Rhinolophus ferrumequinum: one gene and its partner. The protein of the gene in region 1 binds, or shares a complex with, the protein of each later gene. Links are inferred from orthologs where the notes say so. Each region holds a gene or a part of one and is shown on either strand. Other genes may lie near its edges.

Region 1 (12,461 bases):
AGGTAGAACTGGCTAGAAGGGCCCAGAGCTCTTTACCGCCTGGGTTGGACAGACTTAGGCAAGTTGATCAGCTGATGGAAAAAGCCAGTCCAAAGAAATATGGTGAAGGTTGGGCACAGAGGCTGCATTGTGTTATCTCAGAGGTCATTAAGGATGGTGGTGGCTGGAGCAGCTCTGGTATAGAGACTGGCCTCAGGTAGGAGTACAGCCTCTGTTTTACTTGGATGGTATTATGGACTGAATATTTCTGTCTCCCAAAACTTGTATGTTGAATCCCTAACCCCAGAATAGCTGTATTTGGAGAGGGGCCTGTAAGGTGGTAATTTAACTTAAGATTCAATGAGATCATAAGGGTGGGGCCCTGATTTGATAGGATTAGTATCCTTATAAGAAGAGACACCAGAGAACTCCCTCTCTGTCTGCACCTGTTCGGAGGAAAGGCCACATGAGGACCAACCAGCCTCTGCAAGCCAGGAAGAGGGCTCTCACTAGGACCCAACGCTGCTGGCCCTTAATCTTGGACTTCTATTCTCCAGAAATGGGAGAAAATAGATGTTGTTTCAGTCTGCGGTGTTTTGTTATGGCAACCCAAGACAACTGAGCAGACAGGAAGGAAGAGAACAAGAGGGCATCATTTAGACACACCTATAAGATGTTGGTGAGAAGAAATTCATCCATGTAGTGTTGACTCTCAGGAAGTGAGAGGCAAACCCGCGTGGTGAAAATGAAGGGGAGGTGGTAAGGTGAGGAATTTGAAAAGACGTGTGCACGTCAGGGAGAGCCTCTGAGAGTCAGGGGTGAGAAAACGGATGTTGGACATGTAGGGATTCTGGAGAAGACTCTGGAAAACTCAGGAATCCTGGCAGTACGATGGGCTGAGACCAAGGAGACGATCAACCAGGGACGTCTCTTCCCTACATGCCCCTTGGAATCTGTCAGACACAGAATGGTGAGGCTGGGTGGGTCCCAGGACATTCTCACTTGTCCACAAGTACACTGAACAGCCCTCTGTTTGTAATGTAAGCAAGTTGATAGGATCTGGGTGTTGTGGGTTTTACCTTGGGTTGCAGGTTATCCCAGAGCCTGAGTGAAGGTCAGTGGTGAGAAACCTGTTTGCTAAGGGCAAGGAAGCAGGGACCAAATCAGGGGCCACTGGATGGGGCCACTCTAGTGGTGGAGCTCTAACCCTGGATATTAAATCTGGGCTTTCAACAGGAGCACCCGGAAGAGAGCGATGTCTTCCCTTAGCGTGGGAAGTAACGACGGGATGGGGAGAATGGGGACCGGGTGGAGAGAGGGACGCTCAATGAGAACACCAAAAAGGTAACACCAAAGCCAAGAGGAAGGACTCCCTTAAACAGTCTGGGAAGTGTACTTCCTGTTTGTTTGATTCTGTGACTCCAAGCTTATCAATAAACTACAGTGGTTGTTTTATAAACAATCAGATTTGTTTTGTGTTTTACAAAGCAATTAGGTTAAACTGAAAGTAATGTTATTTTGAGATTTGGGAGAGAATTTTATGACAGCCCTTTGGGGACCAGAAACCAGAGTAGGCCTCACGATGGGAAAGATGCATGTGCTGGTTAAGAAGACCTTGGTTAGGATCATCATGCCACCATGTCCTCCTGGGTGATCCGAGCAAATGGCTTCTGTGTCCTCATTTGCACAATGAGGGCTACTGATTGTTGATGTGAGAATTAAATCAGTGCTGGGAAGGGCTTAGCAGACTTTCTGGTGTGAAGGTGCTCAATAAGGGGAAACTTTAAAATCATCATTTCCATTAATTTTAGGGATGGTAAAATTTTCAAGATAAAGCCACAAGTACTTCCTCAGAAAATTAGAAAGTGATTTTTCAGGTATAAAAAAAATCCCAGTGACCCTCCTCTGAAGAATTATCAATAGCCAGCTCCTCACATGACATTTTGCAGGCCTTCCTAAAATTCTGCTCACAGAGCCACCAAAGAGCCTGTCAGCCTCTGAATCCAGATGCACCACCGGAAGGGGCAGGGACCACCATGTGCCGGAGGCTTCAGTGTACCAGACCCCATACTTGGAGTTCTTATGTTTCTGAGCCGTCAACTGGGGAGGGATGGAGAAAGGAGGGGTAAAGTGAGGAGGGAGGGTGAAAAAGATCAAGGAAGTTATTCCCCACAGAAGTCTTTTTATGTGGCTTGAAAATGTTTCATCATGTACACTTGCTTTCATCCTCCGACTCAGATTCCCTGCCACCAACCCCACTGCCCCGCATCCAGCAGGCAATTAACACCTATCATTAGCCCTGTTAATGCATCTCCCCTGAAACATGACAACCTTAAGGCAGTGGTTCTCAACCAGGGGCAGTTTTGCCCTCCTTGCTTCCCAGAGGACATTTGACAGTGTCCGAAGACATTTCTGTTGTCACGACTTAGAGAGATGCTTCTAGTGGGTAGAGGCCAGGGATGCCACTGGATATCATACAATGCACAGGACATACAACAAAGAATTATCCATCTCCACTCTCTGCACTCTGTCCCTATCATCCCCACCCCATTACTTCTTCCCATGCCAAGCGAGGGCATAGCTCTCTTCTTGGCACCGCTTGTTGAAAGCCCAGATGTAATATCCAGGATTATAGTGTCAAAGTTAAGAAGCAGCGATTGAAGGAGAAAGCAGCCCCACACATCCCACTGAACTCACTAAGATTATCAAGTTGGCAGTTTGCCAGATGCCCTGGATTAAAAAGCCCTACCTTGAATGACTAATTTTCCTTTGCTTGACACACTTATGCACAATTTTTGAAGCAATTATTACTTTCAAGATGTCATGCTTCCCTACTTGTTGCTATATGAAATTGCCACAGCTTAAGACGGTCGCTATGGATATCATCATCATTTCACTCATTCATTCATTCATTCATTCATTCAACCACTACATACTCAATGCGTTCCCTCTTATACTGTGACGGGCTCCCGGGATTAAGGATGAAGGCGACTAAGTCTCAATGCCCAAGCTTGAAGTGTGTGTACTGGGGAGGAGGGGAGGACAGGTGTACTGGTGAATAACCGCAATATTCTTCCTGGTAAAAGTGCTTATGCAATACATGGGCATGGGGCAGCAAGGGGAGGTGTGATCAGGGTTTCCTATGGCAATCTGAGAAGACTGCCCCTATCAGCCATCATCACTTTTTAGCTTCCAATTGCAAGGTACCCACTGGCATCTCCTTGTATGGAAAGGCAGTGAGGGTGGGGGGTAGTAACGAAGAATTTGGCCTTAATGACTCCTCATTAGGAAGAAGCCTGTGATCTTCCTCAAGAGAGCCCCAAATGAATAAACAGTTGTTTGAATACCCTTAAATTTCAAAATCAAATGTCTGACCACTCAGTCACACAGAAGGAAAACAGGGTTTCATAGGCTGGGAAATAACACCAATCATATTAGGTCAGTTCCACTCCTATTTATTAAAGGAGTTCTCTGCCAAGAAATGAGACCTCAAGTCTGGTTAAGCCCATAAAATAATCAGAGGACCAAGCCTTATGCACAGAAAACTATCTTGCAACAATACAAGGCAGTACATGAGTATATGAAAGTGACATGCAAAGAAAGAAAACAGGTGTAATTAACAGAGCTCTGGGTCATTGGGAATCAAGAGATCTGGGTTCTAATCCCAGCTCTACCACTAACCTGCACATATGGGGCAGGTCCCGTCTCCCTGTGGTCTCAGTTTGCTCGTCTGTAAAATGAGGGAATCGGACCAGAGCATATAACAAAGCAACCTCCTGAGACACACCGAAGACTTGAACCAAGCAAAGTTTCTTATTTTCCCCTCTGCTCCTTCCTGAGGTAACATGGGGGAGATTAAAATACAGGCTGAGCCTCAGTCCTGAAGTCCACTGCCTGTTAATTTCTCTGGACAACCTCAGGGTTACTACAAATACTTAAGGAGTCTGGAGGGTCTCAAAGAAGGAACTATCCCCTCTCCCATTCCTGGGCACTGAATAACAATACACCTCTAAGCTGTATTTGGTTTTGATTTTTCCCTAATGCCTCGGTGGCTTTTCCCCAAATTAGGAGTTCAGACTAATGAGGGGGTGCTTTTGTTCTAGCACCTTTCTTCACCAGCACTGTGGAGAAGATGCTCCAAGGTTACAAGGGAATTTGGGAACAACAGCCCCAAATTCCACTCTTCCAAACTACTGCTGCTGGAATGTTATGGACTTGCCAGAAAGATGGGCACCTCCTGAGTGCCAACACTCCCATCAGCTCCGGGAGCTGAGGTTTTTCTTAGGATCAAGCAAAAGAGGACTACAGGGGGCAAGGTCACTGGACACCAGGAAGGACTTGTTCAGGACAGAGACTGGAGACTCAAAATTGGGTTCCCAAGAGCTTTCCCTGGGGAATTTTTTGGGACAGACTCAGGGAGCCAGTTTGGAATGTTGGTAGAAAGGAGTAGTTCTGGAATCTACACCTACCCACTCTCCATCCCCCACTCCATCCCCATTCCTTCCATCCAGCCCATCTGGGTGCAGCCACTTCACAAATCCCACAGGGAGAGGCCTGCAGATTCCCAGGAGTTTTTGTGGGAAAGAAAAACAAGCCATGGCCATCGACTCCACCGCCTTCTCTTTTCTCTTCCAGCTTCTCCCTGGAGCTGGTTTGTGGAGACCAGAGGCTCTCAGGAGTTCCTGGGCATGCAGACATTATGGAGCCAAATTCCACAGAAGAGGAGGGGGAGGGAGCTGCAAACGGTCCCATCACACGCCCCGGAAGCTCCGGGCTGAGCTTTCTGAGGTTTTCCCACCTGCAGGCCCTGTGTGTGAATGTCAAGGCGTTGGGGCAGAGGGATGTGGGTTCCAATTGTCTTTTTGGGGGGCAAGATTTTTGGTCTTTCTGAGTCTCGGTTTCCTTGTCTGTAAAGTGAGGGTGATAACATCAACCTTATAAAGAGATTATGAAGTTTCAATGAATTAATGGAGGCAAAGTGCCCAGCACACAGTAGGCACCGCCGAGGACGGCTGGAGAATTTCCGTCTAGGAGGGCCTTACAGTCGCAGCCTGGAGGAAGGGGTGGGATGGAAGCCAGGGGATTCATCTCAGAGCTGCCTTGCCTGGCGCACACGTATTTATTTTGAGGGCAGGAGGCCCTCTGGAGAGAAGCTGATAGAGATTATTGGAGCGGGGGACAGGGGGTAAGGATCCCCACACCTCAGTGGAAGATCTGGGGGTCCCCCGCCACTCCAATCCGTGTGAACCCGGAGGGGTCCCTCTGCCCGCGGAGGGGCGCGGTACTCACGGTGTGCGCCGCGCCGGCGAGCAGCAACAGCAGCAGCCGCAGCGACCGCGGCTGCAGGCAGGGGCGCATGGTGCCCGGCGCGCTCCCGGCGGCAGCCCCGACGGCCGCCCACTCGTGCTCACCGCGGGCTCTGGAGCTCAGCGCCCCCCGCAGGGTCCCAGATGCCGGCCCGCCGCCGCGCCGGGAGGAGCCATAATTGGGCCAGGCGACCCGCGGCTACCCCGGGACTGCGCCTCCTCGGAAAAGGTGGCCGCACGCTATGCCGCCCGGCCCATTGATAAGGACGCGGCGCTGCCTGCGCTCCTCCGCCCAGCCTGACTGACTGGCTGGGGACTGGCGGGCAGGCTGGCAGGGGAGGAGGCGGAGGGAGGGCGCGGGGGCCTGGATCCGGCTCCCGCAGCCTGGGCCCGGGAGCCGAGGAGACCAGGAGAGGGCACGCTGGCTTAGCCTTCGACGCTGCAACACCCCCAAGTCCAGAAAGCGCACTCAGCCCCGTCACAACCTTGCTGCGCGCGGATGGACAGCCCATGTCACCTTTTTGCACCTCAGTGTTCTCATCCCTCACATACATCTAATACCCGCCTTCGGGATGAAAGAAGATTGCGCTAGTAGTGCCCTGTGACAGCGGGTGCTCTATCAATGCCTGTTGCATCTATTCTGCGGGCCAGTTACCTTGCACTTTATTTCGTTTTCACTTTATTTTTCTTCACTATTAAAGTTATGCTGGCTCATTCTGGAAAGTTTCACTTCCATGAGCACCATCACCCGGGAAGCCTTTCACCATCAGGTGGCCCAAGGAGGACCATCTGGTCCACCCGGGGCTGACTCGCCCTTAGGGTTCATGCTTCCTGGCCTCGCTGGAGGCTGTTTAAACATTAGGCAGATATTCCCAGTAGCCTGCTCAAGCTGAGTCTGACTGCTTAGATTTCCTGGAGGATGGCATTTGGCCTTTCGGTACAAGGTACCCTCAAACGGCTTTTGTACACTCACTATTTTCTTCCTCTGCACTGGTGCCCACTCCCTTTCCACTTGCCTCTCCTTCTATCTTGACCTTTCCCCAGGCATTTTAAATACATCAGCTCATTAAACTCCCCCAAAATCTGAAGGTGATATACTGGTTTGACAGAAGAGATCCTTGAGGGTAGAGGAAGATCAATCAGCCATCCAGGCACACGCAACTCAGCGTGTCAGACGGGAGAGCCGGGCTCTGCACTGCACGGCTGGCTCTGAGTCTCTGTGAATGACCTCTGGTCAGATTGCTAAGCGGCTGTTAAAGTAAGATGCTGTAGTCCTCAGCAGCCTTCCTACCTGAAGAGGCGAGGTGAGATTCATAAATCACCGCAGAAATAAAAGGGGGGGAAATGCTTTCTGCTCTCAGGTCAGCAGTCAATATTCAGTACATGTCAATCTGAAGTTTACATAACCACCAACTCACTTTTAGGAACTTTCGCAATAGAAATACTTACCCAACGACCCGATGAAAGATGCGCAAGGATGTCTGTGGAAGCACCTTCGTTGCAGCAGAAAACGGGAGATAATGTAATGGAAGGGGAACACTTAGCCCCACGCTTGATGTTACCTTTTTGTGTAAAGTAACCATGAGTATACTACTTCTGGCTTCTCTCTACCCACCTCAGCCATGTCCCTCCCCGCAACACACACGTGTGCTGAGCTCTACATGATTAATGTATTTGGGATAAGGACGGGCATGAGATTCTGCCCCCCAACTCTCCCCCTCCTTTCCCAGCACCCCCACCTGCAGAGAGCCTGAGACTGAGTTGCCCTGGGCCAGGCTGTCGTTGGTGGTCAAGGCTCTGCCTGTATTGACCCAGTATCACCAGTGACAGGGTGGTGGCCTATCTAATTCTGAGGTTCACTATTAGAAAACTCACTTTCCCACAAGTATAAACCACATTCTCCACGACCAATATTATCACTAATAAAAGGGACATTGGGGCGGCCGGTTGGCTCAGTTGGTGAGAGCGCAGTGCTCATAACACCAAGGTTGCCGGTTCGATTCCCACATGGACCACTGAGCTGTGCCCAACACAACTAGATTGAAATCAACGACTTGACTTGGAGCTGATGGATACTGGAAAAACATACTGTTCCCCAGTATTCCCCAATAAAATTTTTTTTAAAAAAGTGACATTTTTTAAATGTCTGTTTTAATCTTATTTCTCAATTGGTTCAAGATTTAGACTGGAAAGAAAAATGTTACTTGCTGGTCCCCAATTAAACTCCAACCCCCTAAATGTGCATCAGAAAGTCTTTGAGTTAAGGACTTGCAATTTTTACTGTATAGATTTCCTGTTGCTTGAATATTTTCTGTAACTACTGTATATTATTTTTTTGATGGAAAGAAATAAAAAGAAAACAATATAAAAATGCAATCTCTGTTCTCTACCAGAACCTCATGATATCCACTGAAAAAGCAAAACAACATTTGTTCTGGGCAATTCAATAAATTTCTGGCCTGTGGCAAACCATTCGTTCTTCCTCAAATGGGAGGCATTTGAGAAAAGGGGCTGAAGTACTCTGTGAGAAGCCCTTTTACAAGCCATGTGTGCTGTTAGTGGCTTTGTAAACCCCACTTGAGAAAACAATTTTATAACAGAGGTGGGAGGAAAAGATAGGGACCAAACAACATTATATAATACCTGCCATGTGTGAAGGAGTCTTGTAGGAATTTGCAGTGTGTTGTTAGATCCTCCAAGACTACATGAGAGAGAATTACTTTCCTTGACTAATAGGTTGGGAGCTTGAGGCTTGGAGAAGATAAGAACTGCCCTCCAACAACACAGCCAAGAAGGGGCAGGGGCAGAATTTGAAATCAGGACTGAACCCAATGCCCATGCCCTCTGCACTGTACTAGGATTCCTCTCATCCGTGAAGATGACTTCCTAAACCTGGGGCTTCCGCACTTCTTTGGCACACATCATCTCATCTGATCCGCAAAACCCGCCTATGGGGTCGGTAGGACCAGCAGTCAGGGGCTGGCAGGAGAGGGAGGAACTGTTGCCCGTGTGATTTAATTGAAGACAGATTAACGAAAGGACTGTGTGCAGAAGTGTGGGCAGGGTTAAGGGAACCAACAAGGGATGGTGAGGCAGTAGGGATTAGCAACAATGGGCCGGAAGGCTGACAGAGTCTCCCCTGAGCAAACTTCAGTCAGTCTCCTCGGAGTTCTCTTCTTGATTAGGCCTCCACTGTGACCCTGACTGTCTTTGGGCTGCCTCTCCCAGTCCCGGCAAGGATTCTGCCATCAGTTTTGGGAGAATGCCTCCACTCCTGATCTTATCACCCTTGATATCTGATCAAGTTCCTCATCCCTCCCCAAATCCTGTTGGTTTTCCAAATCCTCCATCTCTCCTCTTTGCAATCTTCCATCCACTCACCCTTCACCCTGCTCCTTGGCTATAAATCCCCACTTGTCCCTGTCATATTCCAAGTGGAGTCTGATCTCTTTCTCCCCTATTGCAACAGTCTTGAATAAAGTCTTCCTCATCGTTTTTTAACAAGTGTCAGAGTAATTTTGTCTTTAACAAGGGGTAAGGACAGAAAACAATGATCCCAGAAGCTGGCAAGAGCTATCCTTGAAAGAGAAGCCACTCGTAGGAACTTAACCATAGAGGAATGCAGCCACTGTCAAAACTGTGATAAATACTCTGCCCTCTCTCGTCTCCTGTCCACTGATCTCCTGGCAACGTCTTCCATTGGCTGAACTCAACCCAAAGCCAGAGACAGGCAGACAAATGAGGGCTGCGGGGAGGAAATGTCCATAGAGTTTAATCTCCTGGGTGGAGAAGGTAGAAAATTAATTTGTGAAGAATGAGGCAAAAGAAGAATAATCCCACGTGGAAATATCTTTAAAGCCATTTAACAGGTGTAGAAACTGACTTGATGAGGCTTTAAATCAAGGTCATACAGCTAGGCGGTAGGATTGCTGGTACTGAAACTCAGGTGAGCTGTTTCCATCACTCTTATACCCATTACCCCCAAATCTAGCAATGGAAAACCAGCAATTATTTATTGTCATTTCACAGTTTTGGGGATTGACTGGGCTCAGCCAGGCAGTTCTCACTTGGGGTCTTTCACATGGCTGCAGTCAGACGGCAGCTGAGACCAGAGTTACCTCAAGATGTGCTCACTCAACTGTCTGGGGCTGAAGCATCTGAGAGGTTCCTCAGCTGTCTCTTTCTCTTTGTGAGAAAGGATTTCCAACACACACCCTCCACCTTCCAACATCCACCGTCCTTCTAGTGAACGTAGAACGGTAGAAGGAAAAGGATTTTTCTTCCCCTGCAAATCCCCTCAAAAATTAAATTTAAACATTTCCCTGTGCCAAAAAGGAAAGAGATCTTTTTTCTTCTTCCTTTTCTTTTTGCATTTTCTTTAAAAAACTTCTCATTGTAAATCTTTTCCCTTTCTCTTTGAGATGCAGGTAAATCTTTTAAAAAGCTAATTAAGGCTCTTGCCATTTTGCATCCCAGGAATGAAGACCTTGGAGTCATCTCTTTGAAATGTGAACATCAAGGAAAATGGTGCTCTGCCTCCCGGTCACTATGGGAGTTTAGCCCAGGTGCCTGGCTCCACGTTGTAATTTCCCACTTGTGGAAAAGATACGAGAAGTTCTATTTTTCCTTTGAATAAAGGCAATTAGCATGTGTGTATGATGGATTGTATCTGCCTGGCTATGTAAAAGGCTACGATTTCTATTTGTCTTTGCAACCTCTCTTGTGGTTTGCTGGTGACGGGCATCATCGTCTCCTTTAATGCTTATTCAATAATAACACTGATTCATTCGTTCCTTCATTTTGTGGAGAGGATTCATCTGGTTGGCAGTACATTTTATTTTTAATTACTTTTCCGCCAAGAAATCGTGTCATTTTTTTTTTTTTTTTGCATTTTTCCAAAAGCAATAAACACTTGGAAAACTAATTAAGCACATTCATTCAATGAATATTTATGGAGGACCTACCTAATCCAGGTGCTGTGAACCAGAATGATAGGGGCCTGGGGAAATTGCCCTCGGTAACCTCAGCCCCATTCTTGAAACCCAAGGGGCTAGATTGCACCCCTTCCCAGGAGGCCCAGAAAGATGACTGAGGCTGATAGACAAGACTTCAGAGGCTTTCACAACAACATATTTAACAAATCTATTGGTTGGCTGGAGTAAGCAACTTCAGAACGTATGGTGGATGACATTGCAACCTGATAAATGCTATGGGAGCATATACCAAGGGGCCAGACCAAACCTGGTGGGTATTAGGTTGAGTCATATTAGTCACCATTTTTCTAGGTAACATACATTTGAATATTGACATTTTTTTAAGGTTCAACCTAATAAACGTTTGTTGGTTGTGTCAGGCCAGACTTTATTCCCTCTTCTTCTGATACAAGTACCCCTTGCCTTTCCCCAATCTCAGACCACATGGCTTGGGTGGGGCTTTCACCAACAGCAGCCCAGGAGTGAGCACATGACACAGACCTGGGTGAGGAGAGTCATCCCTACCAATAATCACCATGATTGGTTCAGGGATGGGCACATGACTCAAGCTGGGCCAATAGGAATGGCACCAACGAAACAATGTGTTGGCACTATGCGCAAGTTAGGTGCAACATGGCAGCCTTTCCATAGCACTGAGAAATCCTGTCTGAGAATGAAGCCAACATGGAGTGAAGAGAACCAAGAAACAGAGATAAAATCTTTTTTTTTAATTAAAATTTATTGGGGTGACAATGGTTAGTAAAATTACATAGGGTTCAAGTGTACAATTCTGTATTACATCACCTATCTATCACATTGTGTGTTCACCACCCAGAGTCAGTGCTCCTTCCATCACCATATAGTTGAGCCCCTTTATCCTCATCTAGCACCCCTCCTCCCCCCTTACCCTCTGGTAACCACTAAACTATTGTCTGAGCAGAGACAAAATCTTGACACCATCATCTGTCACCTAGATGTAGCTGTGACTGAAGCCTCTCACCATAGATGATAGATAGACATACAGACGATAAGTTTTAAACTTTTTTTTCACTTTTGAATCCATTTCTGCCCCTGTAACAGAAAGAGCACTGACATACACGTAAGGAAGGCTTCCCAGGAAAGTAATATTTGAGCTGAAGGGGTTGGTTTGGAGAGGGAGGAGAGGAGAGCATTGGGGAGGAGAGGAGTTGGCTATCACTGGGTGTCTGGGTCTCAGGCCTTCACCAAATGACTCCACCAATGAAATGAACTTGCTCTGCCCCTTCAGCTGCTCAATAAACCAAACAAAAGGCTCTGTCCTTTCCTGAATGTGAGCTTTTCTGGGAACCAAGCTAATGTATTATTGATGAGCCATAAATAATGGGGCAAGCATGATTTCCTATTCAGTACTGAAGTACAAAGGTATAACACTGACATTTAAATGAAGTTTTTATGGTCCAGGTTCACTGTTTACACTCTGGAAACGTGGGCTGGCTTTCTCTAAAGCAGTTTTTCCTTTACTTTTCTTATTTCCTTCCTCCGTTTGTCATCATCCTTTGAATATTTCTATTAAATATTATGGTTAACACAGATCAAACAAAAGAGAGTAAAGAAAATCATATCTGAAAGACAATGTCGCTGGTGCTTCCAAGGACTTATTGTCACTGGATGGAACAAAGAAAGGTCGGGTGCACCCCAACCTCCCAGGGGCTCCCCACGTTTGTGCCTAAGGCAATTTGGGTTGGCATACAGAAAAGAATGGTCTCAACAGACAAACCTGGGTTCAAATCCTGACATAAGCATCGATTAGTCGTGTGACCTATGGCAAGTTACGTTAGCCCTCTAAGCCTCAGTTTCTTCATCTATATGGTGGGGAAAGTAATAGCCATCTTTCAGCATTGCCATGAGGTTGAAAATAATTCAGTGCAATTAAATTGTCTGGATATATAAATTAAGATGTATTTGGCTGCAGAAAATAGACAAATCCACTGAAACTGGCTGAAAGAGCAATAAGGATAATTACTGGCTCACATGACTGAGGGTCCAGAGACAGAGAATGCGTCAGGTTAGCCTGGTACGTGGCTCATGCTCTGTTTGCCGTGGTTCTCTGGGCTCTGCCCTCCTCTGAGTTGGGTAGCGTCAGGCTAATCTGCAACCAATGCTAGAGTGACCGAGAATGTGGTACTCTCTTAAGATGTTGACTCTCCCCCGTCAAAAGGTGGAA
Region 2 (10,843 bases), on another chromosome or scaffold:
TACTCCGAGGCTTGCGCGCACCCACGCCAGCGCCGTCCCGTGCGGCCGCGGAGACCCCCGGGTCCCTACTTGCGCCCAAGTTGGGCTCCCTTCCCCAGGGACGCTTCTGGAGGCGCCTCAAGGCGGAGCCGGATCGGGTTCTCACTCCATTCCGTTCAAGCGGCGTCGGGAGAACATTCTTCTCTGGCTGGTTCCCCCAGGCGCGGGAAGACTGGAGCAGCCCCGGCTCCAACCGCAAGACCCTGGCGCTCAGGCGCCTCCCCCTGGCGATCCGCGGTGCGTGAGGCACAAGGTCCACACTCACCCTCCCTCGGACACCCCTCCGACCCAACCCTCTCTTCTACCCTGGCTCGTCTCCCCACAATGATTGCAGACCCGGACCCAGGGCCCTGCATCCCATTCCAGGAAGCTGACTCTCGTCTGGTTCGCGGGACCACCTTCAATCACCCACCATCACTGCCTCACCCTCCACCCTCCAGGCTGACAACGGAGTGGCCAACCCCACTCCATCACCTCGGAGCCTGTGACCCTGAGCAAGTGTGTGCCCCTCAGCCTGGGGTTACAGGCCTAGGAAATGGTGCCTACATCACAGCCACAGGTGAACTATCGCCAGCAAAGGCACGGGAGAAGACTCAGGGAGTTCGGCAGTGCCGTGGTCACCTGTTTCTTCACAGAGGAAAGAAAAGCCCCCAGTGAGAAACCTCTCACCCTGCACCCATCACAGCTACAAACTCACCTGCCCATCACCCCCCTCTGCCAATACAGGACTGTGGGAGCCTGGGAGGCTGGAGGGAGGGTCACAGGTCCACGCAGACAAGACTGTGTGGGAGCAGACCCATGGCTGTGCTGAGAGCCCAGCCCCGACTGTCCTCTGTCCGATCATAGACGTGCACAGAAAGAGCATCCAGGGAAAATGTGTTACAGCGAGAAGTCTCTATGGACTTCCTGAAATTGCCGTGACAGGCGGCCTGGAGCCCCATCATTAAAGGGGCCCTGAGTGTCGGTCCAGCTGAATGGCTCTGTGGGACCCTCTGGTTCGCGCACCTGAATAATGCTGGCTTCCTCAAACGAGATGGGAAGTGCTCCCTTCTCTCCTATTTTCCTTAGTAGATTTCATGAAATTGATATTAACTTTTCCTTAAATGTTGGAATAATTGGCCAGTGAAGCCATCTGGGCCTGGAGTTTGTTAGGTGGGTTTTGACGGTGATGTCACTTTTTTTTTTTTTAACACATCTATCTCTTTAACAGACTGTGTCTTCTGAGCGAATGTGGTAGTCTGTCTGCCAAAAATTTGGTCTATTTCATGTTAGTTTTCCAATTTATGGGCCTAGCGTTATTTATAAAGTTCCCTTATTATCTTTTTTATACCTACTGTAAGGTCGCTGATGACAACACCCCTTTCATCCCTTATATTATAAAAGAAACATTGTATGTTTCTTTTTTTCTTGGTCAGTCTTGCTAGAGGTTTATTAACTTGACTGATCTTTTCAAAGAAACAGCTTTTGTTTTCATGGATTTTTTCTATATTTTTTGTGTTTGTTTTCAGTTTCATCAATTTCTACTCTTTATTATTTCCTTCCTTCTGCTTGCTTTGTAATTAATTTGCCCTTTTTCTAATTTCTTAAGGCCACTCATTTGGGATAGTTCTTCTTTTCTAACATAATAAGCATTTAATGCTACCAATTTCCCTCTAAGACACATCCCACGCGTTTTTGTGTTTACAATTATGTTCCGGTTAAAATAATTCCTACTTTCCTTAGACTTCTGCTGTGACTCATGGATTACTTAAAACTATGTTATTTACTTTCCAAATGTTTGGAGATTTTCCTGTTATCTTTCTATTATTTATTTCTAGTTTGATCCTGTTATGGTGAGGAAAAAATGCTTTGTAGGACCTCAGTTCTTTTACATTCATTAAGGTTTATTTTATAACGCAGAATATAGTCTATTTTGATAAATGTTCCAGGCACACTCAAAAAGAATGTGTATTCTGCTGTTATTGCGTGGAAAGTTCTTTAAATATCAATTAGATCAGGGAGGTGCTGCTCAGATCAGATCTGTGTTCTTGCTAATTTTCTGTCTGTCTTGTTAGTTACAAAGAAAGGCATATTGAAATCTCCAAGTATAACTATAGGTTTTTCTACTTCTCCATCCAGTTCTATTTCTCCGTATCAGTTTTTGCCTCATGTATTTTTGATGATTTGTTGTAGGGTGCCTATACACTTAGAATTGAGGCCACAGGGGCTCGGAGTCAAGGGCTGAACACCAAGGGGCTTGAGGGAATTTGGGGGTGAGGGAACTGGCAGTTACAAAGACGAATACATTTTTCCAAGCTCATAGAGCTGCACATCAAAAAGAGAACTATAAATAATAAATTAAACTTCACAAAAGGGGCAAAGTTAGAATGTGTGTGATCCCAGGTTGCAAACAACAATTACAGCTCAGAAAGGATGGTGAAGCCGAGGCAGCTCCTCCTGGGAGAAGGATGTCCTAATCCTCCCAGAACCTCTGGTCAGTGAAAGGTGGGCTGTGTGACGGCTAAGGCTGTGCAGGGCCTGAGTGGCCACTCTGTCCCCCAGGGCCAGTGAGTATGTCTGTAACCCTCCAGAACAGACAGAAATCAGAGTTATGAGACCACCGTCACCCTGGTGGTGATGTTTGGGCAGGTGTCAGAGCTGGTTCTATCAACATTTCCGGCAGAGTTTTATGGGATGCTTGAAACATTTAAGAGAATGTCGTTTCATTTGGTGCACAAGACTTGTTCAAAGTTTAAGAATCTGTTCTTAATCAACAGAACAAGTAGATGGAGCATGAGCAAGGGTAGAGAAGAGTCTGAACAAACCATCAATAAGCAGGTGTGTTTGGCATTTATAGAGCACTCCATCCAACAGCCGAGGAATGCAGAGCTCCTCCAATAGATGTGAACCATTCACCAGGAGAGAGAGCATTCTGCCCCAGAAAAGGGAATGCAACACATTTGTAAAGAATGGAAATCATACAAACTAAGTTCTCTTGCCATAAAGATATAAAACTGGAGACCAAAAAAATAACAGGAAAATGTCCAAAAATTTGGAAAGTAAAAAACACAATTCTAAATAATCCATGGGTCAAAGGTGAAATCTCAAGAGAAATTAGAAAATATTTTGAGGAAAATGAGAACACATCATGTCTAAAGTTGTGGGATGGAGCTAAAGCAGAGCTCAGAGGAGAATTCATACCATTAAATTCGAAAATGAGAAATGTCTCAAGTCAACACAGGATACCAGTCAAGCACCTAAAGATGAAGAACTGCAGGGTCATACTGACTGGTGCAGAAGAACATCTGACGAAATTCAACACTGTGTATGATAAAAGTGTTCAAGCAAGAGATAGTCAGGAGGCTTCTAGACCTGATAAAGGGCATCTGCAAAACACCTACAGCAAACCTCCCAATTAATAATGAGAGACTGTGTGTGATCCACCTAAAATCAACACAAGACAAGTATGTCCACTCCCAACACGTTTATTGGGCATGGGACTACTGTTCTAGCCTGTGCAATCAGGCTAGGAAATCAGGTAAGGAAAAACATAAATAACAGACGTCCATATTGCATCGGAAGGAGTGAAACTGGCCTTATTCACAGAGGACACGGCTGTCTACGTAAAACCCCAAGGCAGCTACAGAAAGCTCGTAGGACCTGTAAGTCAGTTTAGTGAGGTTTCAGGGTACAGGTCAGCCCCCAGAGATCAGTCGGGTTCTATGTGCCAGCAACGAGCAGTGGGAAGCCCTCCTTCCACACCCCAGTGGAGAACTTAGAGTTGGTTCGAGTAACCTCAATTTGACATTTAAATCTTGGTGAACCCCCCCCCCAAAAAAAAATTGGACTAGAGAATATTTTCTGTGCTTTGCTTATTCAGAGAATTAAACTAATGAAACTATCAACTATCAAGATGAACTAAATTCTTAGCTGTGCATAAAATGTGTTCCTTCCTACATTCTATTCTGGAAATATGAAGCTTCTTATTCTTTCTTAGAATCCTGGACCCTGAAATTGGCTGTTATTAGTCCCCCTCCCCCACCCCCCCCACACATACACAGAATGATGCCCAATTTGAGGCTCTGAATAGCCATTCACGTAAGTTAGGACCCAGCTCAGGTTGACGTCTTGGGAACCCGTGGGGCCCTTGGTTAAGTCTGTGGGTTGAAAGTGGCATTCTGTCATTGTAGCTTGTGTCATATGTTGTCTCTAAGCAATGTCCCAACTGGGAAGGCAAGGTTTGGGCGCACTGCACTCCTTAGCTCACCTCTCTCCTGGTGCCAGTCGTCCATCAGGGTGCGGAGCAAATGGCTGTCTCGGTGGTGGCGCGTCACAACCCACCCTGGAAAACCCTTGGCACACCACCCCATCTGCCCAACACTTCAGCACGGCCACCATCTTAATAAGGAAGCCTCAGTGTGGCTCTGTGATGACGCAGGAGGAATCTGAGCAGCGGGGACAGTGGTGACAGCGCTTTCGGATGAGAGGAAGGCAGTTACAGAACCCTCTGTGACAGGAACACTAGGACACAGCCCATCTCTGCTTGGCTGCAGCCCTGCCTGGCTTCTTCCACTCAGAACTTGCCTCACTCTTGGTCTCTCCCTCTTGCTGGTGACTGCTTGTGACCACATGCAGTGTGACCCATCGCTCTGGCTGTGATGTGACCACAGAGGGGCAGCATGAGGGAGTTGTTTGCGGTGATGGAGTTGTCCTGTATCCCGATTATGGTGCTGTTTACACGGATCTGTACATCTGTCAAAATTCATTATTTTACTATATATTAACTTTACTGTATGTTAATTTTTAAAGCCCATTTTATTGCGTGTTAATCTTTTTTAAATGGGAAGATTTTTCTTACGAAGATCTGCCTGGTTACTTAAGTGTTTGAGGTGCTAAGAAATTCAACCAATTAAATTAGTATTTGGAGCTTGGAACATTCTCATGAATGCAATTCATCAGTCAATGGTATTAAAGTTTAGAACATTTCAATTTGCCAAGTTTGTGCAAGAACAAGTCACACCATCTGTTTAAAAACACATGCAAAGAATCATCAGCGAGGGAGCACAGCACACCTACCAGACGGACCACAACCCAGAGCCCCAGTGACACTGAGTGCTGGCTGGGAGGACGTGGGGCCACAGGAATTCCCACCACGGCTGGTGGGGGGTGTGTGTGCAGATGGTGCAGCCACTTTGGAGGACAGGGTGGCAGTTTCTTACAAAACCAAACACACTCTTATCATGTGATCCAGCAATCGTGTTTCTTCGTATTTACCCAAATAAGTTGAAAGTCACGTCCCCACTAAAACCTGCACACAGAGGTTTGTAACAGCCTTACTCAAATTGCCAAATCTGGAAGCAACCAGGACGTCCTTCAGTAGGTGATGGATGAATAAACTGTGGGACATCCAGACAATGGAATCGAATTCAGTGTTAAAGAGAAATGAGCTCTGAAGCCAGAGAGGACATGGAGGAAACTAAGTGAAAGAAGCCAGCCTGAAAAAGCCACATGCTGTGTGATTCCTGAGGTAGGACATTCTGGAAAAGGCAGAACTATGGAGACCGTAAAGATCAGTGGTCGTCACAGGTTGGGGAGGAAGGAGAGATGAACAGACGGAGCACAGAGGTTCTTAGGGCGGTGGGACTAATCTGTGTGAGATTGATTGTGGGTACATGTCACTGTACATCCTGTCCAAACCCCCAGAATGTACACCACCAACAGTGAGTCCTGATGTCAATTATGGACTTAGGTAATAACAATGTATCAATACCGGGTCATCAACTGTAACAACTGTAACAAATGCAGAACACCAATGCAAGATGCTGGGACGAGGGGAGGCTGGGTGTGTTTGTGCTGGGGGAACTATTGCAGCTCAATTTTTCTGTAAACCTAAAACTGCTCTAAAAAAGTCTACTAATTATATTTAAAATGCACGTAAAGTTTAACACAAGAACTAGTTTATAACTTCATTGACTAGATTTGTGATTTCTATTTAAGGATTTAATGCACACAGGAGTTTAAGAAGCCTAGCTTTACTTAATCCCTTATTGATTACGCAGCAGGAACCCAGCTGCCTCCCCTTTCCTCCCCTTTCCGCGTCTCCACCTCCTACCGCCCCTGAAACAGGCTCAGGTCTCCCCCGTCTCGAAAAACAAATGGCGAGGCCCCCAGGCTCGGATCTGCGCCCTGCCTGCAGCTCCCCTCCGCGCCGCCCCCCCACGGGGAGTGGCAGTGAGGTCACCGGTCCGCGCTCGGCCTTCCCTGACGCCGCCCCCTGCCCAGCCGCGCGCACCGTGTGCCGGGGCCTCTCCAGAGGAGCCCGCGGCCTCGGGTCGCCTCGCGCTCTGTCCCAGCCTTGACCCTCCTGAGCTCATCTCCGAGGCCCCCGGCCCCAGGCTCTGCACAGACGTTCCCGCCGCGCATCCGCGCCACCGCCCCGCCCGGACGTCCCTCCTCCCGCCCCGGCCCCCGCGTGCCCGCAAGTCCACGTCCGGCTGAGCCCCGCCAGCCCGCCGAGGGGCGCCGACGCGGCGCTGGGGGCGGGCGACCAGCCGGGTTGACAGCTGGGGGGGCGGCCCTGACCTTCCCGCGGATCGATGGGGGAGCGGCCCGGGCTGCGTGGAGCCAGGGCGGTGCTGACGCCCCCGCCCCCCGCCCCCCGCCGGGCGCCGCTATAAAGGGTGGCGCGCAGCTCTGGCCGCGGCCGCAGCGCTTAACACCCCGGCGCGCCCACCATGGCCCCCCGGGCCCTGCTACTGCTGCTGCTGCTGTCTCCGCTGCTCCAAGGCTCTGCCGGGCGCCCCGCGCCCCCCAGGTGAGCCCAAGGTCCCGGGGCCCACACAGCCCCTTGGGCCCGCCTACCGGCCCTGCGTCCGCCCCACCCTTGCTTGGCCCTGATCCGCTGCGGCGCCGTCACCCCCTCCTCAGGGCCCCGCGACACTCGGACGGGACGTTCACGAGCGAGCTCAGCCGTCTGCGGGAGAGCGCGCGGCTGCAGCGCCTGCTCCAGGGACTGGTCGGGAAGCGCAGGTGAGGTCGGGCCTGGGGCCCCCCTGAGGGGCAGGCCCCGCATGGGGCTGTCCCTCACGCAGCAGTCTCCACCCCCAATTCCACGACTAATTCTGATTTGGGGCGGGGGGCAGCGAGCAGGACGCGGAGAACAGCACATCCTGGACTGGGTCTGCCACCGAGCCTGCCGAGGTCCCCCTCTGCCTGCTGTGGTCCCATTCTCCTGCCCTGCAGGCCTGGTGAGCCCGCCCCCCTCACCAGAGCTCCGCCCCGACCGTCCCTCTGGTCCCCTGGGGCACCCCGTGTCAGCAGTGGGCCAGGGGTGGGGAGAGTTAGCGCTGGTGACCCAAGGAGGCCGGTTCACCAGGTGGGCAGGGGTCTCCACCTTCAGGCCCACAGCCCCTAACCCAGCTGTCTCTGCAGGATGATGGCCCTGAGGGACCCCCTGAATCAGGCCTGGTCTCCCCGGCTGTCTCTTGGACTCAAGTCTGGGGTCATGGTTTCAGAGCCGGCCATCCCTGCTGAGACCCAGATGACGTCCTGAGGAAGAAGGAACCTCCCCTCTTCTGACGGGGGCGCGAACCTGGATGGGGCAGGGTTGGTGGGAAGGAGGGGGTTGCACTTGGCACCAATAAAGAAGGAATTCAGACCCTGGCCTGGCGAGCGCGCTGTGTGCACCGTCTCTGCCTGCGCTGGGAGACAGCCTGCTGGGCAGAGCTCACAGGGGAGGAGGTCCTGCCCGGGAGCCCAGCAGGGGCCACGCCCAGCTGCCCTTTAAACCAGAGAAGACAGTGGGCGCCTCACCTTCCCCTTTCCTTATCTCTGGCATCAGGGCCACTTCCTGTCCCATCGACTGCACTCCCCAGGGCCCCGCCCGCACCCCTTGTCATCCACTCAGCAAACATTCAGGGACTCTGAGGGGCGGCTCAGGACGTTCCCCAGTTCCTGCCCCAGCTGCCATGTGCTAGGTGTGTGGAGCAGGTGGGGGGAATTTTAAGGGGGGTGACGAGGCTCAGGCTGGGCAGGAAGAGGTGACAGGCAGTGGGGCTGTGTGTGTAGGGGGTTACCAGGAGGCTATGAGTCCACTCTGGAAGCCAGGCGTCTGGGCTCTCTGTCCAGGGTTGTGGTCTTGGACAAGCGGCTCAACCATGCTGAGCCTGTGGAGCAGGGACAGTAATGACACCCCAAGAAGTGCTGGGGGTGCAGGAGGCCGGTTAGGCACATGGCAGGCAGAATTGCTGTCACCAGCAGAGAGAACAGGGAGAAGAAGCAGGTGCAAGGATCTGAAGGGGAGAAGGGCCGCCCCACTGTCACCCAGCCCCTTCCCTCCCTCCTGGACTTACCGAGTGGCCTCTCCCTAGCCGCTGGGAGCCTCTCCAGAATCAGCCTGCTGTCGGGCACCAGAGCTCCCGGGGACCCGAGGTGCCCCTGAAGCGCTGCCATTTCCATCACTGTGCCCCTGCGCAGCCCCACCAGGAGGGAGCTGGCTGATTTCCAGGACAGGCAGGTGTGTCCCCAGAATACAGCCTTTTCCTTCCAGATTTAGATGGTCAGTGTGGGAGAGGAGACGGGACTGGAGGGGAACCTGAGGTCCGAACCACGGGGCTGCCTAGGACTTTGCCCCAACAGCATTCTGGCGGAAGAACCCAGCAGAGGCATCTGGGGTGGGGACAGCATAGCAGACAGAAGCCAAAGGCCAGCCCCTTCCCTGTCCTCAATCCCCCAATCCTAGATTCCCTGAGTCCCTAGCCCCCTGCCCCCAGCTCTTGCTCAGCCCCTCTCTTCGGCCCCCCGCGGGCACCCCCACACCCCCCACCCCACCCAGGCCCATGTGTCCTGAGCATTCTGTGAGCTCCTTTCCACCTCATGTCTTCGTGACTGTGGGTTGAGCCCCCGTTGGCACCTGCATGTGGCCCGGCTCCTGCCAGGTAACCACAAGGCCTCCCCCTCCTAGGCCTGGCATGGGCTCGGCCCGCGGGAGCCCCCCAGGTGGAGGCCAATCGTAAAGGATCATAAAGTGGGCGGTGCCGGGCAGGGGTAAAGGTCGTCCCGGCAGAGACTGCCACCAGCACAGGCTACTCAGAGGGTCCCGGTCGCCAGCCGGGCTTAGACTCTCCCGCTGGCCCCAAGATGGGGTCTTGGGTCCTGCTGCTGCCGCTGCTCACAGCCGTAGCCCAGGCCCAGGGTACATGCGGGCTTGGCCGGGGCGCGCGGAGGGAGAGGGGGGCGGGCGGCAGGCAGGGGTTGAAAGGCACTGACCCTTCTCTACTTTCCAGTTTGCTCTGTGGACAATACCTTCTTTGAAGTCCAGGAGAATACGGAGCCTAGTGGGCCCTTGGTGGACATCAATGTCCCTGAGGGCCAGCGCGTGACCCTCGGACCCTCATCCACCCCCTTCGCATTTCGGATCGAGGGCACCCAGCTCTTTCTCAATGTGACTCCTGACTATGAGGTACAAACGGCAGACCAGGGAGGGGTGGGCCGGTGGGGTGCCTGGGGCCGCCAACCCCTGTGGGACCCATGCAGAGAAGGGTTTTTGGGAGTCCTGAAGGCTCTCTGTCCCCCAGGTAGTGACCAACCCCTGTTGGGCCCCAAGGCTTGGTTGAAAGCAAACGCGAGGGGCCAGGGCCCTTGGAGGACAAAGCTGCCTGGGTCCCCAGTGCGCTCTGGACTTAGCAAAGATGACGGGGACCTTGGGCGAGTATCTGCCCCTCTGGCGCTGTGCCCTCCCCTGAGGGATGAGAACAGTGTGCTGTGACCAGCTGCACAGGTGCGCTGACACCTCTCCGCCCCCACAGGAGAACACAATACTGCAGGCACACCTGGAATGCAGAAGGGGTGACACCGTGGTGAGTCAAGCCCAGCTCTCTACTTCCTGGGCGGCCCCCACGTCCCCTCCCTCACCCTGTGACGTCAGAGTGCTTGGACCTCTGTGCTCTGCCTGTCCAGGGTTCCTCCCCAGTGACCTCACCCAGTGGTGTGTTTTCAAGTGTCACTCCTGTGCTGGTGATGCCCACACTTCCTCCAGCCCAGACCGCCCTGAGCTGCAGACTCGCAAACCCAGCCACCCTGATAGGACATCACACCCCCAACCCGAGACCCCATCTGGGGAGGCGCCTCACCCTCCAGCTCAGTCCTGTCCTCTGCCTGCCCCACGTCCTCGTATCAGCATATCTGCTGGCTGGGCCTCAAGCTGGGCCTCCTGCCTCCTGACTCAGGCGCTGGCTACCAGCATCTCCTTTATGGAACCTTCCAACTGGTCCACTCGCTGCCCTCTCGGCCCCACCCACCCCAGTCCACTGTCCGTGTGGCAAGAGGAGCCAGCCCGTGGAGCCCTGCCCAGAACTCGCGAGATGTTGTGCCTCGTCTGTCACTCAGTTGTCACCCCCTGACCTTATTCTAAGTCGCAATGCTACCCCCTCACCCCACACACCTTAGCCCCTGACCTTGACTCACCTTTTATGATGGGAAGTTTCAAAGGCACAAACAAGGGACAGTGTCCCAAGCCCCGTGCACCTGCCAGCTCTGCAGGGAGCCACTGAGCCCTGTGGGTGCCCCGCCTACAAACATCTCAAAGTCACTAAGATAAGGACCCTTCTTACACATCACACGCCACTGGTTCACACCTGAGAAAAGCAGGGACTCGGCATCACAGGACACCCTGGAGATATCTGGTCAGAGGCTCTGTCACAGGTGCAGCAGGGTCACCCTGGGCAACTGGTTGATATTTCTCTTAAGTCTCTTTCAATCTTTGGGTCCCCTTTCTGTTCTCTTTTTCCTTTGAGACTTAGGTTTTGGGATATTTGACTGCTCTTCT

Evidence for each region.
Region 2: the proteins of SCTR (region 1) and SCT are in contact, whole or in part, in a cryo-EM structure (PDB 6WZG), measured with the Homo sapiens proteins. The link is inferred for Rhinolophus ferrumequinum from reciprocal best matches to the Homo sapiens genes SCTR and SCT. Residues at the interface, in NP_002971.2 of Homo sapiens: Arg30, Leu31, Cys32, Leu35, Asp71, Asn72, Pro117, Val125, Val127, Asn128, Asp129, Asn132, Arg135, His136, Leu139, Leu140, Leu142, Lys143, Tyr146, Tyr150, Arg188, Asn192, Lys195, Leu199, Phe200, Ser202, Asp203, Val205, Met219, Phe222; in NP_068739.1 of Homo sapiens: His28, Ser29, Asp30, Gly31, Thr32, Phe33, Thr34, Ser35, Glu36, Leu37, Ser38, Arg39, Leu40, Arg41, Glu42, Arg45, Leu46, Gln47, Arg48, Leu49, Leu50, Leu53, Val54.

What each region holds. Positions count from the first base shown.
Region 1 is NC_046291.1:90,567,989-90,580,449, forward strand, and holds the start of SCTR (secretin receptor), read right to left. Parts: upstream 5,567-12,461; 5' UTR 5,338-5,566; coding exon 5,269-5,337; intron 1-5,268.
Region 2 is NC_046294.1:369,876-380,718, reverse strand, and holds SCT (secretin), read left to right. Parts: upstream 1-6,675; 5' UTR 6,676-6,752; coding exon 6,753-6,832; intron 6,833-6,945; coding exon 6,946-7,047; intron 7,048-7,160; coding exon 7,161-7,265; intron 7,266-7,449; coding exon 7,450-7,570; 3' UTR 7,571-7,656; downstream 7,657-10,843. Other genes in the region: CDHR5 (cadherin-related family member 5), read left to right, coding at 9,157-9,211, 9,303-9,478, 9,825-9,875. UniProt on the Homo sapiens protein: Hormone involved in different processes, such as regulation of the pH of the duodenal content, food intake and water homeostasis.